Astyanax mexicanus: one gene and its partners. The protein of the gene in region 3 interacts with the protein of the main gene of each other region in a biochemical or structural test. Links are inferred from orthologs where the notes say so. Each region holds a gene or a part of one and is shown on either strand. Other genes may lie near its edges.

Region 1 (7,003 bases), on a different chromosome or scaffold from region 3:
TGGACATGGGTAACAAAAGACTCCTGCAAAGATTTGCTTTAATAGTTGCTTTTATGAATGTGACTCCACTATACTGCAGTTCTTGCCAAAGCAATCCCTTTCCTATGATTCTATCAGCGGTTGTTAAATGACGGTTCTAGATTCAGTACCATCTGATGAAATGAATATGACAGGTGTTCGGCTTAGGCTTGTGCTCTCGCCATTTATGCACTGAAATTCCTCCTAATTCCTTGAATCGTTGTGCAATGTAGAGGGAGAATTCAGCAAAACTGTTCCAATCTTTCTTTGAGGATTATGTATTGGCATATCAATTCTGTTGTACACTTCCATTTTCTCCACTTGATACAATAGGGTCCTTTTATAAAAAAAAGGATGCAACTTTACATTTCATAGAGTTGTTAGATAACCGAAACCCTCCTAGTCTGTTAGCAGAACAAGACATTACCCAAAAGTCGTTTTTATTACAGTATATTGTTATTGTTGCGATTCATTGCTTTCATCACTGTAAAGCTGGTGTTACGCCGCCTTATGCAGCCTCTACCGAGAGGGGGTGCTTTTTCTGGCGGGGGTGCTGAATTCGGCACCATAGTAGTGTCGAAATCTGCACCCTCACCATGGAAACACCCTCTCTTGGAAGAGGCTGCAGGTGACATGATTCTTTTTCCTTATTTCTTACGAGTCAGTGTAGCTTACAACAGTATCTTGGGTATACTGTCAAGGTAAAGCCAAGAAGGTGTGGGTGCGTGCTCCTGAGAGGGGGTGCTTTTCCTGGCAGGGGTGCTGAATTTGGCGTAACACCAGCTTTACAGTTATGAAAGCAATGAATCGCAACAATAACAATATACTGTAATAAAAATTACTTTTGGGGGGGCAAATTTACCTATTTCTGATATTGGGGGGGACACATCCCGCCCATACCCGCCCCAGTTCCAGTTCCTACGCCAATGTTGGGGATCCTCTTTTTGTATCAAATTATGATTATGATCAGTAATCAGCGCGTAGGGCACCTAAAAATCAAGCTCATACAAAAATGATCATAAAAATAGTAAACATAATATTGGCATATTTAAATAAAATTATGTATAACATATTAATAGATACACACAATACAAAAGTAACATATTTGCTTGAGGAAAAAAGATTGGAGTGTGCCTCTAGGCTCTGCAGTATGTGTGCCAACAGTTTCTGGAATGTGTTACAGGCCTGAAATGCAGGAATTGAAGTATATTAACAAATGAAATGAAGCTGACCAGACACGACTCTAATTACCGCTGAGCTGCATTAGCCTCTTAGCCTCATAGCTTTAAAACAGACACCAAATTAGATTTTTGGTTAAAGCATCACTTTAGCATCACTCGCTCTCTCCCTCCTGCCCCTCCCCCTCTCCCTGCCTCCTGTTTGTTGGCCACATTGGTTGGCCATGTGTGCGGTGTGTGTGTTTTGTGTGTCTGTGTGTCTACGGGGGGCTGGGGAATCAGGAGGAGGTCACGTCATGTCAGAGCCGAAGCCTGCCACAGCGCGGAAAGCGGGGGAGGCTGAGGAAGAGGAGGAAGTTGATGAAGACTGACAGCATATGTCAGCAGGCTCCACGTCAGGGACCGGGCTCTGCTGGCGTCTGCTTAAGAGACGTGAGAGAGAAGCATAAAAAGAGCAATCTGCAAAACGGTTAGGGGTGTTATAGGGCTGGAGGGGCATGATGGAAGATGAGCTGCTGAGAGATTGCAGAAAGAGACAGTGATAATGATGGAAGTGAAGGGAGCACATGTTCCATGAACTACGAAGAGGCCGCAAGCAAGAAAGGCAAAGGAGTAAGAAGCAAACACATATAGTATATCAGACTGAAGCTACTGGTTATCCTGTGGCTTCTAGTATATGTATATGTGTGTTTTAAGGTTAAGGAAGTGTCAAAATTATAGTTTTTGCTAATTGAGTACAGCAATTAAGAAAAACATTAAAACACATTATCCATTTCTCAGATATATTGAGCATATATATATATATATATATATATATATATATATATATATATATATATATATATATATATTTCTTTACATACTTTATTATCTGGGTGTACTACCTGGGTGGTGGGTCATTCTTCATTTTTCAACATGTTTTTTCAACACGCTTTTCAACAAGACAATGCAAAACACATGCTTCACACATTGCAAAGGCATGGTGTTTAAAAACACCAGCAGCACAACTGTGTCTGATCCACTCATGCCAGACCCACACATGCACTAACACACCACCGCCCTGCCAGTGTCAGGAGCTCTTGTTTTTTAAATATTCTGAACATGAGATGCTGTACAGTGCTGTTCAATATCAAAGTCAATTTTACCTATACAGCCCAGATAAAAGGGACTTGGCTCAGAAATTCTACAGACGAAATCACATTTGGAGATGGCAGAGTGCTTAGTCAAATTACTAACTGTACATATGGGAAATGCCACTGAGCGGAAGCAGATGTTTGGAATGGAGACAAGAGTGGCAATGAACGCAGATGCATCCACAGCCCGGCTGGTTCCCATAGTTACATCAGATTTGCATCCAATTTCCAGCAACATCCCCAGTCTCTTTTAAGCAAAACAAACCTGGCTACTGGAGAAGATCTATTGTCTATATTGTGTCTAGATTATTTGTATTGGCCCCTATGAGCAACCTATAATTCTAACTACATCAAATTGTTGTAGTCAGTCGGCCAAGGCATTCAGCTGCTCAAACTGTATTTATTTAGAATAATCAGTTTCTCTGGTTTAACTATTTATAGGTATATGTTTTAGTTAAATGAACATTGTGGTTTTATTTTATTCTAAACTACTGACCACATTTTTCCAAATTTTCAAATAAAAATATTGTCATTTAGAGCATTTATTTGCAGAAAATGAGAAATGGTTAAATTAACAAACAAAAAAAAAAAGATGCAGAGCTTTCAAACCTCAAAGAAATCAAGTTCCTGTTCATTTAAAAACAACAATACTAAAGGTTTTATCCAAGGAAGAGTTTAGAATCGATAATTGGTAGAATAACCCAGATTTTTTATCACAGCTTTCATGAACTGCTTGCATTTTTGTGCCAGGAGTGGAATAATGTCACCCAAAAGCAGTGTGTTAGACTGGTGGAGGAGAACATGCCAAGATGCATGAAAGCTGTGATTAAAAATCATGGTAATTCTACCAAATATTGATTTCTGAACTCTTAAAACATTAGCATTGTTGTTTCTAAATTAACGTGTTTTCTTTGCATTATTTAAGGCTATTCATTATTTAGACCATTTTTATTTGTAACTTTGAAGAAATGCCGTCAGTAGTTTACAGTAGTAAAACCACAATGTTCCTTGTACTTAAACACATACCTATAAATAGCAAAATATATTTTTATTATTATTATTGAAATTATTCTGAAGTGGTCTAATATGTTTTCCAGAGCTGCATAGCAAACATTAGCTAGCTAGCTCACACTAGTAGGCAAATATAGTATTAAAATATTATATTAATGTTTGTTTTATTAAATATTGAACATACAATCCTAAAATTGTACAGTCAAAACTTTGTATGGGTACATCTGCAAGATACTTGCTATATGTATAAGTTAATCCTTAGCTTTTCAGATAGCTGTGATTTTTTTTTCTGCACGAGCAACAGATCTCATCGAGTTTGTGAACAGTTGTGAACAGCAACGAACCGATTCATCTGAACGGTCTAGCTCTGATTTAGTTCAACGAATCGAATCACACAATACAGGAAAGAAAGTAGTGAGACCACTTTTCACAAAACACAAACTATGAGCATAGTGTAGTCTTTTAGGGGCTTGCGTTAGTAACTGCACTGAACTGTTTATTAGCTGAACTGTTAAGAGTGTGGACTATGAACGGGCGCAAACATTGAGTTAGACGTTTAACGTTGGAGAGTCGGTTCGGCAGATTTCAGAGTGATTGAAAAGAACAGAACGGTTCATTGACTCACTGAATTCACGACTCTGCGCTCTGTTAGCCGGGTCTTAGGGGGGGAAAGGAGTGGGACTGACTGGGAGCAGCTGTGGCAAAATGTCCAAGTAATCTCGAAAGAAAAGCGAACTTGCGCAGGAGGAAAACATTGCAGCCCGTTTTTTGGGGTGGAAATGAGGAAAGCGGCGGGTTCTGGGCGCTAGGACGCGGGGGTGGGTAGTGTGGCGTGGTGGAGGAGGCGGATTGGAGTGTTTTTTTTTTTTCAGGACTGACTGGAGTGGAAAGAAAATAACAGCCACAGAGAGTTAACCTAACTAGCTAAAAAACAAGAGGACTGGCTTCAGACCGACAATAAAAGCGCTTATTCCCGTCAAGTGGATTGCCAATACCTACTGGAAGGCAGGACGGGTTGTTTGTCTTGTGTTTTTGTGAGGTTTGGGCGCTTTATTCTTCATATTTTGTGTGGAAATTTTTAATTTTTCTGTCTTTTTCTGGCTAAACTCGAAACTCAGGAAACAATGAAGACATAACTCATCGAGTGGCCGTCAGCTAGCCTGGCTAGCTAGCTAGCAAGCAAGCAGGCATCGTGTGGAGCGAGCGAGCTAGCTAGCTTAGCTAACCTAGCTAGGTTAGCCCTAGCTAGCTAACGTAGCTAGTTAAGCGAGCTAGCGTAGCTAGGAGACAGCCACAGCTAGCCTGGGAGCTAGCTAGCTAGTCCAGCTGAGCTGAGCTGAGCTAAGTTGAGCTTAGCTGAGTTTCCCCCCTTGAGGAAAGTTTATTGTACGTCTTTTTTTCCACACACTTGAGGAAATATTTGAACGTGGAGGAGTTTAAGGATAGAGAACCGCACAGCCGCAAACGCCCCGCAGCCCCGCTTCTCCACCGCTTTCCCTGCCTTCAATGGACGCGGAGGTCAGAAACGAAGACCGGCCCACCGTACAGCCAGGGAGCGGGCTTACGGCCTTTTACCCCAAAACCAGCCGGCTGCGGGTGAGCGAATTCCGCCAGCAGCCTTCCCACACGCCGCTTGACAACCTCTCCGACCTGATGATTTACCCAGTGGCGGGGGAAGAGCTGTCTGCCGCGGGGAGTGGCAGCGGCGGTAGCGGCCAGCCCGGGGCTCATGGATCAGGGAGCTCAGGGACTGCAGCTGCTGCCGGCGGAGGCGGCGGCTGCTATTCCCCCACTTTAGAGGGACCAGATACCCGGATGTCTCCCACCTCGGCCGGCACGGACGGGCTGTCCGCCTTCCCTCCGCTGCCCCCGCCGCCACTTCCACCTCTTGCCTACGGGGCTCACGGCAGCGTGGACGAGAGTGACCAGCAGGATGGACCAGAATGCGAGGAAGAGGAGGCTGTGTTCTCCCTCTCCGCGCCACCCACTAACCAGTAAGGATGGCACCCTTCTTCTAATGCTTTCCACAAGTCTTTCTAGTTCCTCACAGGCTTCTTATAAAGCTGCTGAAAAAGCTACTAAAGTTCTGAAGTGGTGCTAAACTATGCGAAAGACTTGGTGTGTAGGGGAAAAAGGTTAATGAGCACAAACCTTTGTTGCTTCACATTTCATTGATAGAATTTTGAGGGCACTGACCTTTAAAACGAGCCACTGAGAACTTTAAAAGTTTACAAGAAGTTTATTTTTTTTATTATACTACAGTTAGTTCCGACCCTACAGTGTGATTGGCTGTGAGGCGTTCTGTGATTGCCATTATCACCTGGTAATGCACTGTAACAGAAACTCTGTTTTACTCGGCTGCATACAGGTAACCTAGCAGAGATGCAGATTGCAGAACTTACCAGTCAAACAGTGCAGCTACAAACAGAGCAGCAATGGAACTGTTTTAACTCACATAGTGCTTATGACCAAACAAATCGTATTTTCCGTCCTCTTTAACTCAAAATCTTTTAATAAACAGCGATACTGGAACTGTGGTATAATCACAGTAATACATGAGTGCCTTCAGGTGTATTTTTCGGCATCATCATAATTTTGTAATTAAGTCACAAAATCGACTGATGAGCCTGAACGAATAGGTAGGACAGGGGAACAGATTACAACATTATTTCTGTGAAAATGCATGAATATTTTAAAGGTCACCTTCCGTCGTTTTTTCTTTCATTTTAAAATGTCTAGTTGTGGTCTCTAGTATGAATGAATGACATGTGAGCCGTTTTTGTAAAAAAAAAAGTGCTCAGGTGTCTCTGTATAGCTCTTTTTTAATGGACTGTTTTAGGGGTGTGTCCAAAATGACCGGATTCCAGCTTTGCTCATGAATATTCATACATGCAAACAGCATGCAAATATCTCTCCTCTGATTGGCTAGGAGCACTGCGACGCCCCTCCACCGCTCTGCCGCTCACTGCCTCCCACCTCCTAACTGATGAGCGGTGATGTTGCGTCGCTTCAGCTCCGCCTCTGGGAGTTTCTGGAGCCAAGGTGGGCTGGTCTGTGAGTTTCTGCCTACGTAGGCAGAAAGATAATTCAAAATTCACCCGTTTTTCGGAGGGGGGGAGGGGGGATTTCTTTGCTTAGCTCCTGCAGACAATGGGGGCTGCAAAACAGTTTAATGTGCAGGTGTACACATTCAACTCGGAGAGACCTACTGTATTCCACAAAAAACAAGAAAAATCGGATTTTCGCGGAAGGTGACCTTTAAAGATATTTTCAGCAACAGCTGGAGTTCAACTTCCCCAAGGTACTGTGGTAATAAACAGTCTTTTTGTTTTTTTTAAATAAACTACCGGTACACATTCAAAATTCTCAGTGCCTTGTTTTAAATGTCAGGGCCCTCGGAATTCTACCAATGAAGTTTGGCACTACTTCAGTGTTGTGTTGCCATATATCTGGTAATATGTATATATATCGATAATTCTAAAACAAACAAACAAACAAAAAAAAAAACGAAATATCTCCAGCCCTAATAGAGACTCACGTGGGGCTTGTATAGCAATCAGATTTTCTATTTTGTCCATGGGTTCCACTCATTCATATGAATGTCAGTGATTGGCCCCTCAGGGTTGTTGGAGGAACCAGAATGGATTAAACATTGGCTTAGTC
Region 2 (7,684 bases), on a different chromosome or scaffold from region 3:
AAAATTAATGAAAAGCTGTGAAAAAAAATGTGTTCTATATTTATTATTCAACTTTTGGGCAAACGTTTCATTTTGTTGAGTTTTGCTCACAGATTTTATTTTTGGTGCGTACATACTCATTAACTAAACTAAAGTGAATTTGCAATACGGAGGCCGGCAAAAATGATTGAGGGTATAAAAGTGTATTGTATGATACGGCGTTAACTCTAGTATCACGAAAGGCCAAGTAGCTTTTATACTAATCGTCCTTTAAACCTCAAATTGTACGTTATTTAATTTTTATAGATATAAAATATGATCATTTTATTCCAGACATAAACATCTGGCTAATATCATTACTATTGTTTTTATTTATAGCCAAATTCTGTTCTGTATGTTAAAAACCAGAAAAGTTTATTTATAGGATTTTTATAAATAAAACGTCAATTATTTATATTATATAAATCAGTCAATAGATTATAACTGCGGACAGATGAGGCAAAAAACATGGATTGGTTGATTTTTTTTACAAAGGCACCTGTCCAGAAGTGGGATATTTTAGGCTCAAAGTGAACAGTCAGTTCTTGAAGATAAAAAGGGCAAGCATGAGAATCTGAGACACTGTCGCAAGGCCAAATAGTGACACCTAGACAACTGGATCAGAGCATCTCCAAAATATCAGGCAAGTCTTTAGTGGGATTTTTCCAGTACACAGAAGTGCTTCAAGACAGGAAACCAGTGAAGACCACTGATATGATCAATGGAGGCCCCACGTCCCAGCTTACATAGCATAAAGGGTCTGCTGCTAATGTCTTGATGCCAGATACCACAGGGCACCTTCACAGGTCTTGTAAAGTCCCTCATCGAGAGGACAGACCTATGTAGGTGTCACAAATGCGACCTACACAAAATTGTTTTTAATGTATTGGTTGATCGGCTGAGGGTCTTGTAATCAGTTCACACTTCACAATTCCCTAGCCAAATATTTAAACTAAATTAGTGGTTTGAAGGTATTAAATTAATAAGCACTGTCACTATTGATTAGTAATTAAGTAGTTAATTAAAAATGTACATGATTAAAAAGAAAAAGGAAGAAAGACAAAATGTTAAGAAATGGGTGTGTTCAGGAAGACCAAAAAGAGTAATTCATTGCACCATCGAGACAAAATGTGCCAACTAATCACTATTACTTCACTTTTATAAAAGTACAGATGAAAAGATCATTACTAATTAAATTTCAAATATTAATTGAGCTTAATTGTTTAATGCACTGCATGTGTACTATGTGTAAAACCATGAGATATGGGATAAGGGAGTCGGGGGAGTTTACTGGGCTCTTCTAAAGCCACTGCTGATTAAGATCTCTCACTTCAAGCTCTTCTGGGACCTTGTACAGGATTTCCCCTCCATTTTTCTGGCAACGATGAGCATTAAGCAGCAATTTTATTCTGGTCAAGCAGAAGCTGATCTGACCTCACGCTCTAACTGTCATTCTGGACTGAGTGACCAGTTCCTGCTTTAGGCTACATTAGGATGTGAACACAATTTGCAATGTCTGTTGATAAAGATTACAAAAAAATATACAATGTTGCAAAGGTGGGATATTTTTCTCAAAATCTAAACATGAATCTATATATAGAGACAAATAAGAGTTTACTTTAGTTAGCCAATAGAAAAAGTAGCTTAAACAGCAACAGTCCTATTACTTCTCTCCAAATGTTTCTGTTGTATGCCTTTAATGTTTTACTGTCAAGTTATGTTAATTTTCATATCTTTATTTAATGTTCAACTGTTAATTCTTGTCTAGTTATATAAAAAATATATATGTTTTACTGTAGATTTGGCTGTTTTTATACCCTTTCACAATGTATTGTCAAATGTTCCTGATGTTATACCATTTTCTTAGTTTTTCTCAGTTTTTACGCCCTGTATCCTTTTTTTACGGAATTCTTTTGTTTTCTTACTGTTTTAATGTAATATTTCTTTTGACATTTTGTTAAGTTTCATATGCTTTTTTTGTCAATTGTCCAATTTTATATCTCTTTAACATTTTACTTTTTATTGTGAATTTTTCTTTTTTTTGTACCTTTTTTTGTACCGTTTTGCTTTTCCAATTTTTACACCCTTTTACAAATATTTTACAGTATTATTTTCTATTTTCATACAGTTTTAATGTTTGTCTGTCAGTTCTATATCCTTTTAATGTTCTACTCTCACATTTTTTATTTTAAACCATTTTTAATGTTTTACTGTAAATTTCTCATTTTTTGTACCCCTCTTTGACTTGTCAACTTGTTTTTCACACCCTTTCATTGTTTTAATATGGTTTTACGTTTTCTATCTTTTATCGGCTTAATAGCCTTTTTTTTGTAACGTTTTGCTGTCAATATTGTCTAGTTTTAAAGCTTTTTAACATTGTACACCCATGTTTCTTTTTACAGTTTTACTGTTTTTAATGTTAATTCCTGTTTTATAGCCCTTTTGTTTAGCTTTTTCACTTTTATACAAATTGATATGGCTGTACTGTAATTTCTTGCTATTTCTAAACCTTTTTTAACGTTTTACTATAAATCTTCTTACTTTTATACCTTATTTAACCCTTTTATTGTAAGTTAACTGTTCACGTCACAAAACTGTACAAATCACCTTAACTTATTTTATTACTCGAATTGTCCGTTCCACCTTAAATACCGCAGCTTTTTCACTAACACTATCCAGGTTAGCACCTGAAAACCACCAGCTAGTTAACGTGTCAGATGAGAAGATTTAAAGTAGAACGGATAGGAGTATAACAGCTCGTTAGGAGGAAAGAGTTGAAAGAAAGAAAGAAAAGAAGAAGGAAGGAAAAAGACGAGGAGCTGGAGAGAGACTGTATTTAAAGGATTATCTTACCTGTAGTTATATGAAGCTTAAATGTTGTGACGCATTTAAGTTAAGAGAGTTTATTGAGGGTAAAGCCAAACGAGCGCGCGCTGCTCTCTCTCTCTCGCCTGTGGTCGCGAGACTCATTGAAGTGAGCTGGACAGACAGACAGAAAGAGGAACCTGCAGCTACTTCCTGCTGCTACCCGCACTGCATTTGCATAAAGGGGGCTAAAACTCAGTGCAGTGAACGATGGAGGGCTTAAACTGAACCGGCCTTCAGCCCAGAACCAATAAAACAGCCGCATGGAAGTCAATGCACAAGTTGTAGATCTAAAACGTACTATAATTTAGACAGGTGGAGCTGTATGTTTAATCCACGCAGACACTCCTACTTAGTTATTGTTTTGGGGGTTTCTCAGTTAAAGCATCAGAATAAAGATTGATTGAAAAAAAAAAAACTACAGAGTACTGTTTTAGCAAGGTGGCTACTATGGTATTGCTCAGTTGTTGATACAGTATTTCTGGTGGTTAATAAACAGTAGATATGGGCTCCTGACAACCATATTCAAAATTTGTGTTGACACATTAAAATTGAACTATAAATCCACCTGGGACTGGGAAGTAGTAAGGCTTAAAGGAGAATTCCTGTGTGTAGTAAAATATGATAACGAGTGTGAACTTTTGTCGAGTAGCCTACCTCCATTCACCCCCAGCATTCAATGCTCCTAACAGGCCCATGTAAAGAAATCACTATTTTATTTTTTTTTGTCGCCAAAAACGGTTCCACACTTCACTGGAAGAATTCTGAGGGTGCTAATAGTTAAAACAAAGCACTGATAACTTTAAATGTGCACAGGAAGTTTAAAAGAAAAATCTGTTTATACACACAGTACTTTAAGGTAGTTTACTCGTCCTCCTTTAATGGATTCCCTTTAAGGGTTTAACAATGGCTGTTTTTTTTTAACCTGGGTTTTAAACCCAGAACCCCATCACCAATAACACTGCTCTAACCACCAAGCCAACACTGGCAAATGTCTTCGCCATCGTCACAAATTTTGCAGCCCTTTTATTCCTGTTTAAGTCCTGAGTTTAAAGTTTTTTTTCCTATTATACAGTCAGCAGCATTAAACATGAAATTTAAAAGACAGGAAACGATTCACTGGTTGATTTGGACCGCAAACAAAATATTATATATTTGTGTTGTAGGCATGGGAATGCAGAGTTACATTTACCATCAATTTTAGTTAGTCCATTTTTCTCCAATAAACTATTTCAATCTCTGAATGACTATGCATATATCTCAAGTGATGAACTATGAACTATGCCTACATTATAAAAATGGTTGGACTACCCTTTTGATCTGGGTGTAAAAAAAAAAAAAAAAAAAAAAAAACAGGTCAAGGAGCCAAATTTCTAGATAAGTGAACGATGATAAATAGTGAATTATACTGCATTTACTCCTAAGCAGGAAATACTACAATTTGGCAACCCCTCAAATTTAACAAACAATTAAGCCCTGATAAATGAGTGTACTTCCACAGTTCCCCGGCCTGCCCACACCCACACTCGGTCAACAGTTTTAGTGTGAACACTGTGAGGGCAAAGACCACACACACACATGCACACGAAAGGACATGAACTTTAATTTATTAAAAAAACAAATAAACAAACAATTCCCTTTACAAACATGGCAGGTATAACTTGTAAAAAAAAAGGATGGTAGGATAAAACATACAGAAAGACACATTATAGTACATTATAGTACAGAATCCACTGAACATTATTAGAACTGTGTATAAAGTACAAAAGGAGAGGGAGTTAAAATAATAATACCGAAACTAAGAATCTGACTTTATCAAACTGCCGAAGTATGCAGTTATAGTTTTGAGTTTGTTATTGAGAAAGTTCTGCTCCACTTCCACTTTCCCACCAGGGCCTGCCAGAGCTGCAATCTATAAAGAGAGAGAGAAATATAATAAAACATTAAGACTAATCTGAAGCTGCTGTACTTTAAACACCTACACAATAAATCTAGGTGGATTACATTGTTTACTTCAAATAGGTTGTATAATGTATGAGATTTGACTGGCAGATTGTCCCCCAGCTCCTCAAACTTCCACAGAAAGGATGGTAATAGGCTGGACGTTCACTTCAGTAATACACTGTAGGACCAATTACCATACACCTCACAACCACGTCTCACTGATAACTGATATTTTACTAGCATGACATATTCATACTGCATTAAAATTGCTCACTAATTAGTATGGTTACACTGTTAAAATAACGTGTCTCAATAAAAACAATATCTCCAATTTTACAGCACATTCATACTGGATCAAAATCAGACTATAATTCATACTGTCTCACTGTAAAAATTATAAAAACTGCAGGTTTATACTGAATAAAAGTCAGACCATACTGTAAACTGTCTTACTGTAAAAATGATATACCCTGCAGATTCATACTGGATCAAAATCACAATACAATTATTACTGCCAGACTACACAAACTGTAAACACACTGATTAAAACAGGCCAACCAAAATTAAGAGTTCAATTTGTAAAAATTGCACATGATGTTGATTCATACTTGAGTGATCAACTGTTATACTATGCACACAGCAAATTCATACTGGTTTAATAAAAGAATATATTTAACACTGTCAGACTGTAAAATATATACAAAATGCAAATTCATATTGGATTAATACCATGCTACTATTATGATGGTATGGTTGTTAAATTCATACTGGACTAAAATCACTACAAAATAATGACGGTCAGATTTAAAAATAAAGTACACTGCTGATTCATACTGGAATAAAACCACTCTACAGTTAATACTGCTGGACTTTGCACACTGTGATGATTCATACTGGACTAAAGTAACATCACAACTCTTAGTCATACTGTTAAAATTACAAACATTTTAGATTTTTACTGGATTAAAACATGTTCATTATTATGAATGCCAACGATAAAATTAAACACACTGCAGATTCATACTAGATAAAAAATAGACAATTATTGCTACTAGACTGAAACAACTATGCCTACTGTAAATACATACTTGTTGTCACATCTTAATTAACACTGTAAGACTGTTAAAGCTTTACACCGCACACTCATACTGGGTTAAAATTACACCTAATTACTACTTTTAGATTGTTAAAACTACACATACTGCATAATCATACTTGTTTTTAATGATTTTAAAACTAGATGCACTGCAGATTCACACAGGATTTAAATCACTCTATGATTCTGACTATTCTAGTGTAAAATTACAAGCCCTTCAGATTCATACTGGGTTACAACTACTCCATAGGTATGACTGTAAAATCAGTTTAATGCAGGCAATTCAGGGTTTTACAGAGTTTACACAATCAGTAGCTTGTTTATGTAGATGATGTAGCTGTAATAAATAAATGATTTACTGATTAGAATGTGATTTTAATCGTCTTTACTGTGAGAGTGAATACTGTTTGTAAGAGACTAACTGTTAGTCTCTTCAGGTTTCAAGGTTGTGGTCAAACGTCACTAATGCTGCTCTCTTTCGCGGTTTTAGTGCCCCGTCCTCACTGTTCTTTGGTGTAGTTTGATTTTGCTTTTGGCCTAAAGCACAGTTTAAACTGATATATTAGCCAGATAGCGCTAATTACCACAGCCGTGAACAAACACTGTGTCCATGCAAGTTTTTGGAGGAATTTCAAGTTTGGGAAAAGAGGCATTATGCTCAGCGAAACATGCTGGACACCATGCAGGGCATCTGTTTCAAAGACATTACAAGATCTGATGTTTTGGAGATCCTCTAAACCATTCAATCCCTTGGTCATTACAAATCGGACATTGATATCAACGTAGCTCAGATTCCTACACTTTTTTTAAAAGTCAATTTTTCCTGCTTTCAAAAACCCCAACACCTTTAGGAACTGACTGTTCATTTGCTGCCTAATATGTAGATCCCACATATTAGTCAGTGGGTTAATCGATGATTTTATGCTTAATTGATGTGTATTCTGGTCTATGTAACAAAAAATTGTTCTGATTGAAGGTTGGACATAGGCCACCCTTCGCCTCCAGAATAGCTTTAATCTTCTTGGAATGCAGTCATTGAAGTCCTGAGCGGATGCTGGAGGATTATCTTATTTCTTGTCTCCGCAGAAATATCTCCTGAAAGCTAGGCTAGGAATTAAATAAACGCAAGGTGTTCTTTGACTTTTGCATGCTACTGTATTTGTGCTTCAGAACTTCCTGTAAAGGTCTTTGCACTCTGGTCTTTTGATACAAAAGCTTTCTGGATGGTAGTCGTGCCATGAATTCCTGAGTGAAGCTCACAGCGTTCTGTTTCTCTTGAAACATTAAATCATTTTCTAGCACCTTTGAGCACCTGCTATTCTGTTTCAGTGGACTTCTGGTGGTTTCCTCGCATTGCGGTCAAATCTCATATGCCAAAGTAATTTTGAGATCTCTTTTACAGCTGACATTATATACATACTGTATTAGGTACACCTTGCTAGTACCAGGTTCCTTCAGAACTACCTTAATTCTTTCTGGCATAGACTCAACAAGGTACTGGAAAAATTCCTTAGAGAATCAGGTCCATACTGACATGATAGCATCACACAGTTGCTGCAGATTTGTCGGCTGCACATCCATGATGCGAATCTCCCATTTCACCACATCCTAAAAGGTTCTCTACTGGATTGAGATCTGTTGACCAAGGAGGCCATTCAAGTACAGTGAACTCATTGTCTAGATGATTCATACTTTATGACATGGTGCATTATCCTGCTGAAAGTAGCCATCAGAAGATGTGTACACTGTGGTCATAAAGGG
Region 3 (6,937 bases):
TCCATTGCTGATTGTTCTATCAACATTTAGTACAATAGTGTACAATAGAGGTAATAGTTCAATTAGGATAATTCACTTGTTTTTCCATTTTAAAAAATCTTACTTTTTTTTTTTGTTTTACTACTTTGTTACTTTTAAACGACCAACACAATATTTTTACATATAAATGAAACATAACATTACAATTTCGTTTTAGTTTTTGCAGGGGGTTGTTGCAAATATGAAATTAACCATTTTCATGTTATATGTTAATTATACAAATAAAGGCAAGCTGAAGACGTTTCATACAGAAAAAATACTTTTACTATCTTTCTAAATGGATCAATTTGACCCGTAACGTAACAGGAGGGTTAAGTCGATGCACATTTATTACCTTTGTACTGAATGTAGTTACAATTAATGTGCACCGATATAGTAATTGTAAGCTCATGTTGTGTTTTGTTGCTTTCTGTTTTACAGCATCCAACACATGTCCAGGCCACTCCTGACCCTTCACGGTTTGGCCAGTGTGGTGTTTTCAAATGCCCCTGCTTACAGTTTCCTTCATCTCTAAACTGCACACCTACAGCACACTTTTATTGTGTCTATTGCAGCCATACAATACTATGCAAAGACCAGTTCAGACATCATGTATCTCTGTGCAGCAGTGCAACCAAGACCATTATAGCAGAAGTGTTTAATCCACAGACTGTTGCTACTTCTGATGCACGTCCAGCTCCCCCTCTGCCAGCTACTCCTGATACACCTTCTCCCAGTTCTGGTCTTGCTTCCTCTGTGCATGGTATTAATTATATTAATTATTATATTTTCCCTCAGGAAAGTTCAGCGTGTTGAACGTGTGACTGATGAAGGAGATAGAATGGGCAACGTCTCCTTTGAACAGGTGTGAGGGTGTGGATGTGTGTTTTTTTTTTATTTCGGGTTAATTTAACTGGGCCATTTAAAATGTTTTACTGTTGTGGTTTGTTTTCAAAAGTCTGAATTGGGCTGAAAAGATAAGTTGACATTATTTGAAATTTCAACTTGACCTAGTGTTGACTAGTCATTTCAAGGACATTTGAAGCCCATAAGCTATTGGAGTGCTATCATTTTAAAGGGATAGAAAAGCAGAGAGCTGTTTTGTTACGTTAAGGCAGAGATTAGTCAACAGAATGAGGCTGACTACAGTCTTCAGGCAAAAATGCTAGCCATTCCTACAGTAATCAGAGATTGGGGATATGATTGAAATAATAAGTGCCAACTCAGATTAATAGAATACCAAAATAGTAATTGGTTGCAGCCTTAGAATGTTATCTGGTCATTTTTTTCAATTACTATAATTTTCATGAATCAAAATCTACATGCTTCTATAATGTTTTTCACAGATGCCCCTTATTCTCATAGATACAGTTCTGGATGAGGGTGACAAAGCTTTTTTAAAGCTGTCACTGGTTTGTCGTCTCTTCCGGGACATTGTTTGGACAACAATCATTCCGGGCCCGGGCACATTTCGAGTGGCTTGACAGTAAGCATGATATTTCAGTACAGTTAAGATGTTTGTTTTCCCTTAGAAAAGGAATTACACTCACTGATTTTGAAATCATTTTAAAATTCTTGATTTTTTTAAACCTACAGGTGTAGTGCCATGAAAACATCACAGTGCTGCATGTAAAGACGAGTTTCGCAGGATGTACGAACTGCAGTGCTGCCAGAACTGTCAAGAAACTTATAAAGACTACATACTGGGTATGTTTGTTCTAAATAAATTTTGATAATTTTTTCCTGAGGTCAGAAATTGGTAAGTCAATATATTTAAGGTATTGGGGCTTGGGAGATTGTTACTTTGTGAAAGTGTGTGTTTTTACTTATATTACAGGCTACGTTGGGCATGGGAGACGAGGGGAGCTTGTGGCATTTTACAGCGAAAACGAGCACCCTGGATTCTGCAGCCAGCTTCATGAATGGCTGGGTGTGTGAGTGGCTGGGTGTGTGAGTGGCTGAGTGTGAGTGGCTGGGTGTTGCATTTTTAAATAAAGACTTCTGTATTTGTTTGACCAAAGCATGTAACCAAACATTTTAAAGGCTAGTGTGCCAATAAATGCCAATAAAGATATTGTATTAGCTTGGACAAAGTGTTTGTAAATGGAGTTAATTTCCCTGGGAACTACTGTCAGCCATACAAAATTGGGAGAGGAGAAGCAGGAGAGGGATATCATTATTATTATTATTATTATTATTATTATTATTATTATTATTGACAAAATAGCTATGTATACATATATTTTAATTTCTGAAACCACAGCATTTGATATATTGTACTCTATCGTTATACACTATCCAGCATACCATTATTACCACCTGCTTGTTTCTGCTTCTATTATTCTTTTTTTAGCTCCAATTAGCATCTAGGACACTTTAGTTGCATAATGGTTTACTGGTGTATAATATACAATAGGTATAAAACACTGTTCACTCTATTAGACACTTCTACCAACAGCTGCTTTACATTGTGAGTGAAAAGTCAGAGACAGAATCTTTAAATCTGTTGCTGCACAGTTTGTTGCAAATCTGCAAATTCTTCATCAGTGCCCATGGGATGCTGCCTACTTGATGCTGAATACAGGACGCTGCCCACATGATGCTGGTTGATGGAGCATTTCCTGTCCAGTAGTGACAATGAGGTGTTTAAATTCTCCAGAGGCACTACTTTGTCGGATCCACTCATACCAACACAGCTCTTAACACCACTATGTCAGTGTCACTGTAGTGTTGTGAATAACCAACAAGCCACATAATAGCTGCTCTGTGGTGGTCCTAAATTGTATGCTATACAGTGCAGCTGTGTCATTCTCATCTGTAATATTTTCAGCACCCTGTTGACAGTGAAGATGCAGAATTACTTCTAATATCATTATTATATATTAGCTATGCCTATGACACAAATAGCCTTCCCCCTGCTGAGTGGTGATAAGAAGCACTGTCTATCTGTAATATGAAGTATAGAGCATTACAGTACAGAGAACAGGTGTGATCTAACAATCAAACACTTTAATAATCAGATGCACCCTTTGACCAGCCTCTACCAGTGCAAAGCCATGATTGATAATGTGCTCTTTATTTCATATGGAACATAACCAAAAACTGTATATCGTAAGTTTTAACTTTATATAATAAGTAAATAATGATTCCTATGATAGCTAATCAATAATTCTGGAGATATTTACCAGTCTAAAATAAATTTATAAAATCTACACACTCTGGCAACTAGTTTAACAAATTTAAATGTAAGGATTAATGCAGTGAAATAATGGCTTACTCTGCTGGTGAGTGGGACAGATTAATGTATTGTGATATACAGGACAGAGGCAATTGATCTTTTGGAAACAGCAAATCGTTGTATGCAATTATTTGCTTATTGTATAAAATAAAGGAGAAATGGCACACGTGATGAAAAAGAAGAGTTCCCTCTGTTACACAGAATGAGTTACCAGCCTCATAAACCACAAGTTAGCAGCATGCCATATAAGAAAAACAATAAAATCATACACTTTTAAGTTCACATGATTCCTTATGTATTACTTTATTTACAATGTTAAACCAAAAATGAATGAGAAAGTGTTTCCAAACTTTTGGCTGGTACTGTATATATAGCCTATTTTTTGTGATATCTGTGCATTACACTACAGCATGTGTTGTGCTGTAGCCAAGGCTACGTGGTGGAACTACTCACAAGATATGCGTAAATTTAGCGCAACATCGGCGTTATATGCGTATTTCACGTGGCACACAGTGCTTCTTGAACAAAAAAGTAGGGGGGTTGGCGTACAAGAGCACATGTGGGCGGAGTTGGATGTGGGCGGAGTTGGATGTCCAACTCCGCCTTCCTACAGGCTGCAGCGAGACGTACTTGGAAGGAAGTGTGAAGAAGTGAGAGAGAGAGAGAGAGAGAGAGGGGGGGGGGAGGAGGAGGAGAGGAGGGGGACTCGCGTGTTGACTAGAGTCTGGGTTTTATTTCAAAGGAGCGACTCCAGCACTCGCTACAAGATGGACACTCTCGTCAAAGAGGGGCAACTTTATGTCCAGCACCAGAAGTTCGGCAAGGTAAGCTGCTCTGTTCTTCCCTCCAGACTTCAGCCTCCCCCCACACTCTCCGTCTGCTGCTCCAAACACCGCGTTGGCTGAGGTTATTTACATCTTAGATAGTCTCAGACACACTTCCACACACTCTCTCAGTAAACTTGAACTAGAACTGTGGTAATAATGGAAGTTCACCAGAACTAAGCTAAACTGCGTGTTATTTACATCTAGATAGTCTTAGACACACTCTCTTAATAGAGTTAAAGAGCTGTGGCAATAATGTAAGGGCACCAGAACTGAGGTAAACTGCGTGTTGCTGCAAACACCAAAGACATTGTCTTAAGTTATTTACATCTAGATAGTCTCAGACACTCTCTCAGTAATTTTAAAGAGCTGTGGTAATAATTTAACAGCACCGGAACTGAGGTGAACTGCGTGTTGCTGCAAACACCAAGGACATTGTCTTAAGTTATTTAGTATTTACATCAGGATTGTCTCAGACACAGTTTTGTTCACTCTCTCAGTAGTGTTATAGAGCTGTGGTAATAATGTAAGATCAGATAGATAGATAGATAGATAGATAGATACTGTGGTAATAATGTAACAGCACCAGAACTTAGATGAACCATGTGTTGCTGTAAACATCGAGGACATTGTCTGAGGTTATTTACATCCAGACTGTCTCAGACTCACTTCTATTAAGGGTGGATATTTACAGAGTTAGCAGAGTTGGACAAATTCATATCCATCTGATGTCACTTACAAGTAAATAAAGCTACATCTCTAAAAGCAAGGGTGTATGAATATATAAAAGTATCACAGTATATTGACACCAATATATGGTATGTATCGTATCGCCAAGTTCTTCCCAAAAAACTGCTCTACTAAAAACAAGCACCAAAACACTACATTAGTACTGAGAAACTTATAGCACTGTACTTTTATTAGTACATTTCTGTATCTCTCAGCACAGACGCTGACGTTCATAAGGTGCACTTGTGGTCTAAATAAAAAAAATAAATTGTAAATCAGTACAAACAACCTGGCATGAATCTGACGACTAATGTGTTAAACACAAGTAAAATAATTTAATCACAAGAGTACTTCTGTTAAAGTAGCATTATTTAAAAATACTCAAGAATTTATAAAAATTAACACTTGAGTACATATAGCTAAGTAAACATTCCTGAGTAAATGTAGAGCTAGGTTAGTCACAGTATTTGGGTTATTGATTCATCATTATACAGTACGTAATGTAATGTACACAATGAATATCTCTACCTGCAAATCACTTCATGCACCGTGTTCTAAAATGAACATCAGTTGGGGAAAAATTTGAAAGCTGTTTCTTGAAGTAAAATTTTGTTAAAAATACAAAAGTAAAAGTACAAATCCATTAAATTCATATTAGAAAACGTGTATCTGCGTAAATTTAACAAGTTGCTACACACTTCTATTTATGTGTAACGTTTGACTGAATAATTCCACTCATTAAAAAAAAAAAACAGAAGTTCAAGAACTCATATCAGTTAATCATAACACATATCTGTAACCATGAGGTCTCGCTCCATTCTTCTCTTTCCTGTGACATGAGATAGTCACATGAATGAGCAGCACAGTCAGACACACACCACCAGCACGACTGCCCTCTGTTTTGGACGTTGCTGTTTACAAAAGGAAGCTTGCATGCTCGAACACAGCGTTCAGGAAAAGCAGTTATTTTCACTGTCGGATATTTAGGTGTAGTTCTACAAAAAAAATTGTATCCAACAGACACACACACATAACTCTTTTCTCACGCTCTGCAATCTATTAATTCACTTACACTAAATTTACAAACGTTTGAAAATGTGTTGCCTTATCTTTTCACCAGAAGCACAAATAAAAAGTGTAAAAATGCTACATCACCTAAACATCTCAGTTCATGCAGGCTAAGCACACTGTGTTAAGCCAGTTTGCTTTTACCAGTATTTCACACTGACATGAATCATGTGACACTCAAATCTCAAGTCTCTAAAATCATAGCCAGTGGCTCTACTTCAGGCTTAGTATCTATTCTTATAGCTTCCTTAATGTGTCTCTTGAAACTATTCTCCCTATTTGGCAAAGGAAAAGTATGAGCAAACAATTTCACATTAGTAACCCTGAGGCAACAGATAAGAGTCATAGCTGCTGTGAAGACCTGTGGATATCGACGTTGTCACACAACAAGCTTTTATTTTCAAAACCTGACAGGAGAAAATAAAATCAAATTTAAAAGTTATTTTTTTATGTGTTTCTTTATGGAACATTTTGCCTTTTGTTTTCTTTAACTTTTTAGCAATTAATTGGCTTTGTTGGATGAGCAAGAGAACAGTTGTGAGTTTGGAACTGCTTACTAGACTCTGCTTTAGGCCAGTCACTGACCTCCTGTGTTGGGTCTTCTGAATTCAGTCAATGTGGATGATATTTCTGCCAGAGTTCTGTTCGCATGGACAGTTTACTTAGTAACCAGTCATTACTTTCTATATGATATATTCCTGATGTGGGTCAGGGAATGTAAAATGCCTGTACAACTTCAGAAATGCAATGTGCCATCTATTTGGCACCCACTATTAGACCTTGCTCAATATCAGACTGATCAAATACATATGTGTGTTGCATTTGTAAGTTTCCCTATTTGATATGATGAGTTATCTTACCAATTTACGTCAGACTGAGTGTAAACAGCAATATTATTTGGCTCAGAGCGGTGACGATTTTAGGAATGGTTAATTCTTGCTTTTAGCTAGTGGAGATGGTACAGTTTTGCATTTTAGTGAACAACGGTTCCTTATTTGTTTGTGAAAAATGTATGTAAAAATGTTAATGTATATTTCTTTGAAATAACAATTTTCGTTTG

The links.
Region 1: the proteins of dok1b (region 3) and rasa1a form a complex in vitro, tested with the Homo sapiens proteins (2 studies listed by BioGRID, with this or other methods). The link is inferred for Astyanax mexicanus from reciprocal best matches to the Homo sapiens genes DOK1 and RASA1.
Region 2: of the proteins of dok1b (region 3) and lyn, one has a biochemical effect on the other in vitro, tested with the Homo sapiens proteins (2 studies listed by BioGRID, with this or other methods). The link is inferred for Astyanax mexicanus from reciprocal best matches to the Homo sapiens genes DOK1 and LYN.

Annotation. Positions count from the first base shown.
Region 1 is NC_064429.1:21,771,140-21,778,142, forward strand, and holds the start of rasa1a (ras GTPase-activating protein 1), read left to right. Parts: upstream 1-3,984; 5' UTR 3,985-4,846; coding exon 4,847-5,334; intron 5,335-7,003. UniProt on the Homo sapiens protein: Inhibitory regulator of the Ras-cyclic AMP pathway. Stimulates the GTPase of normal but not oncogenic Ras p21; this stimulation may be further increased in the presence of NCK1.
Region 2 is NC_064411.1:37,347,624-37,355,307, reverse strand, and holds the start of lyn (tyrosine-protein kinase Lyn), read right to left. Parts: upstream 3,020-7,684; 5' UTR 2,872-3,019; intron 1-2,871. Other genes in the region: tgs1 (trimethylguanosine synthase), read right to left, coding at 4,682-4,795. UniProt on the Homo sapiens protein: Non-receptor tyrosine-protein kinase that transmits signals from cell surface receptors and plays an important role in the regulation of innate and adaptive immune responses, hematopoiesis, responses to growth factors and cytokines, integrin signaling, but also responses to DNA damage and genotoxic agents.
Region 3 is NC_064415.1:19,730,143-19,737,079, reverse strand, and holds the start of dok1b (docking protein 1b), read left to right. Parts: upstream 1-3,926; 5' UTR 3,927-4,023; coding exon 4,024-4,080; intron 4,081-6,937. UniProt on the Homo sapiens protein: DOK proteins are enzymatically inert adaptor or scaffolding proteins. They provide a docking platform for the assembly of multimolecular signaling complexes. DOK1 appears to be a negative regulator of the insulin signaling pathway.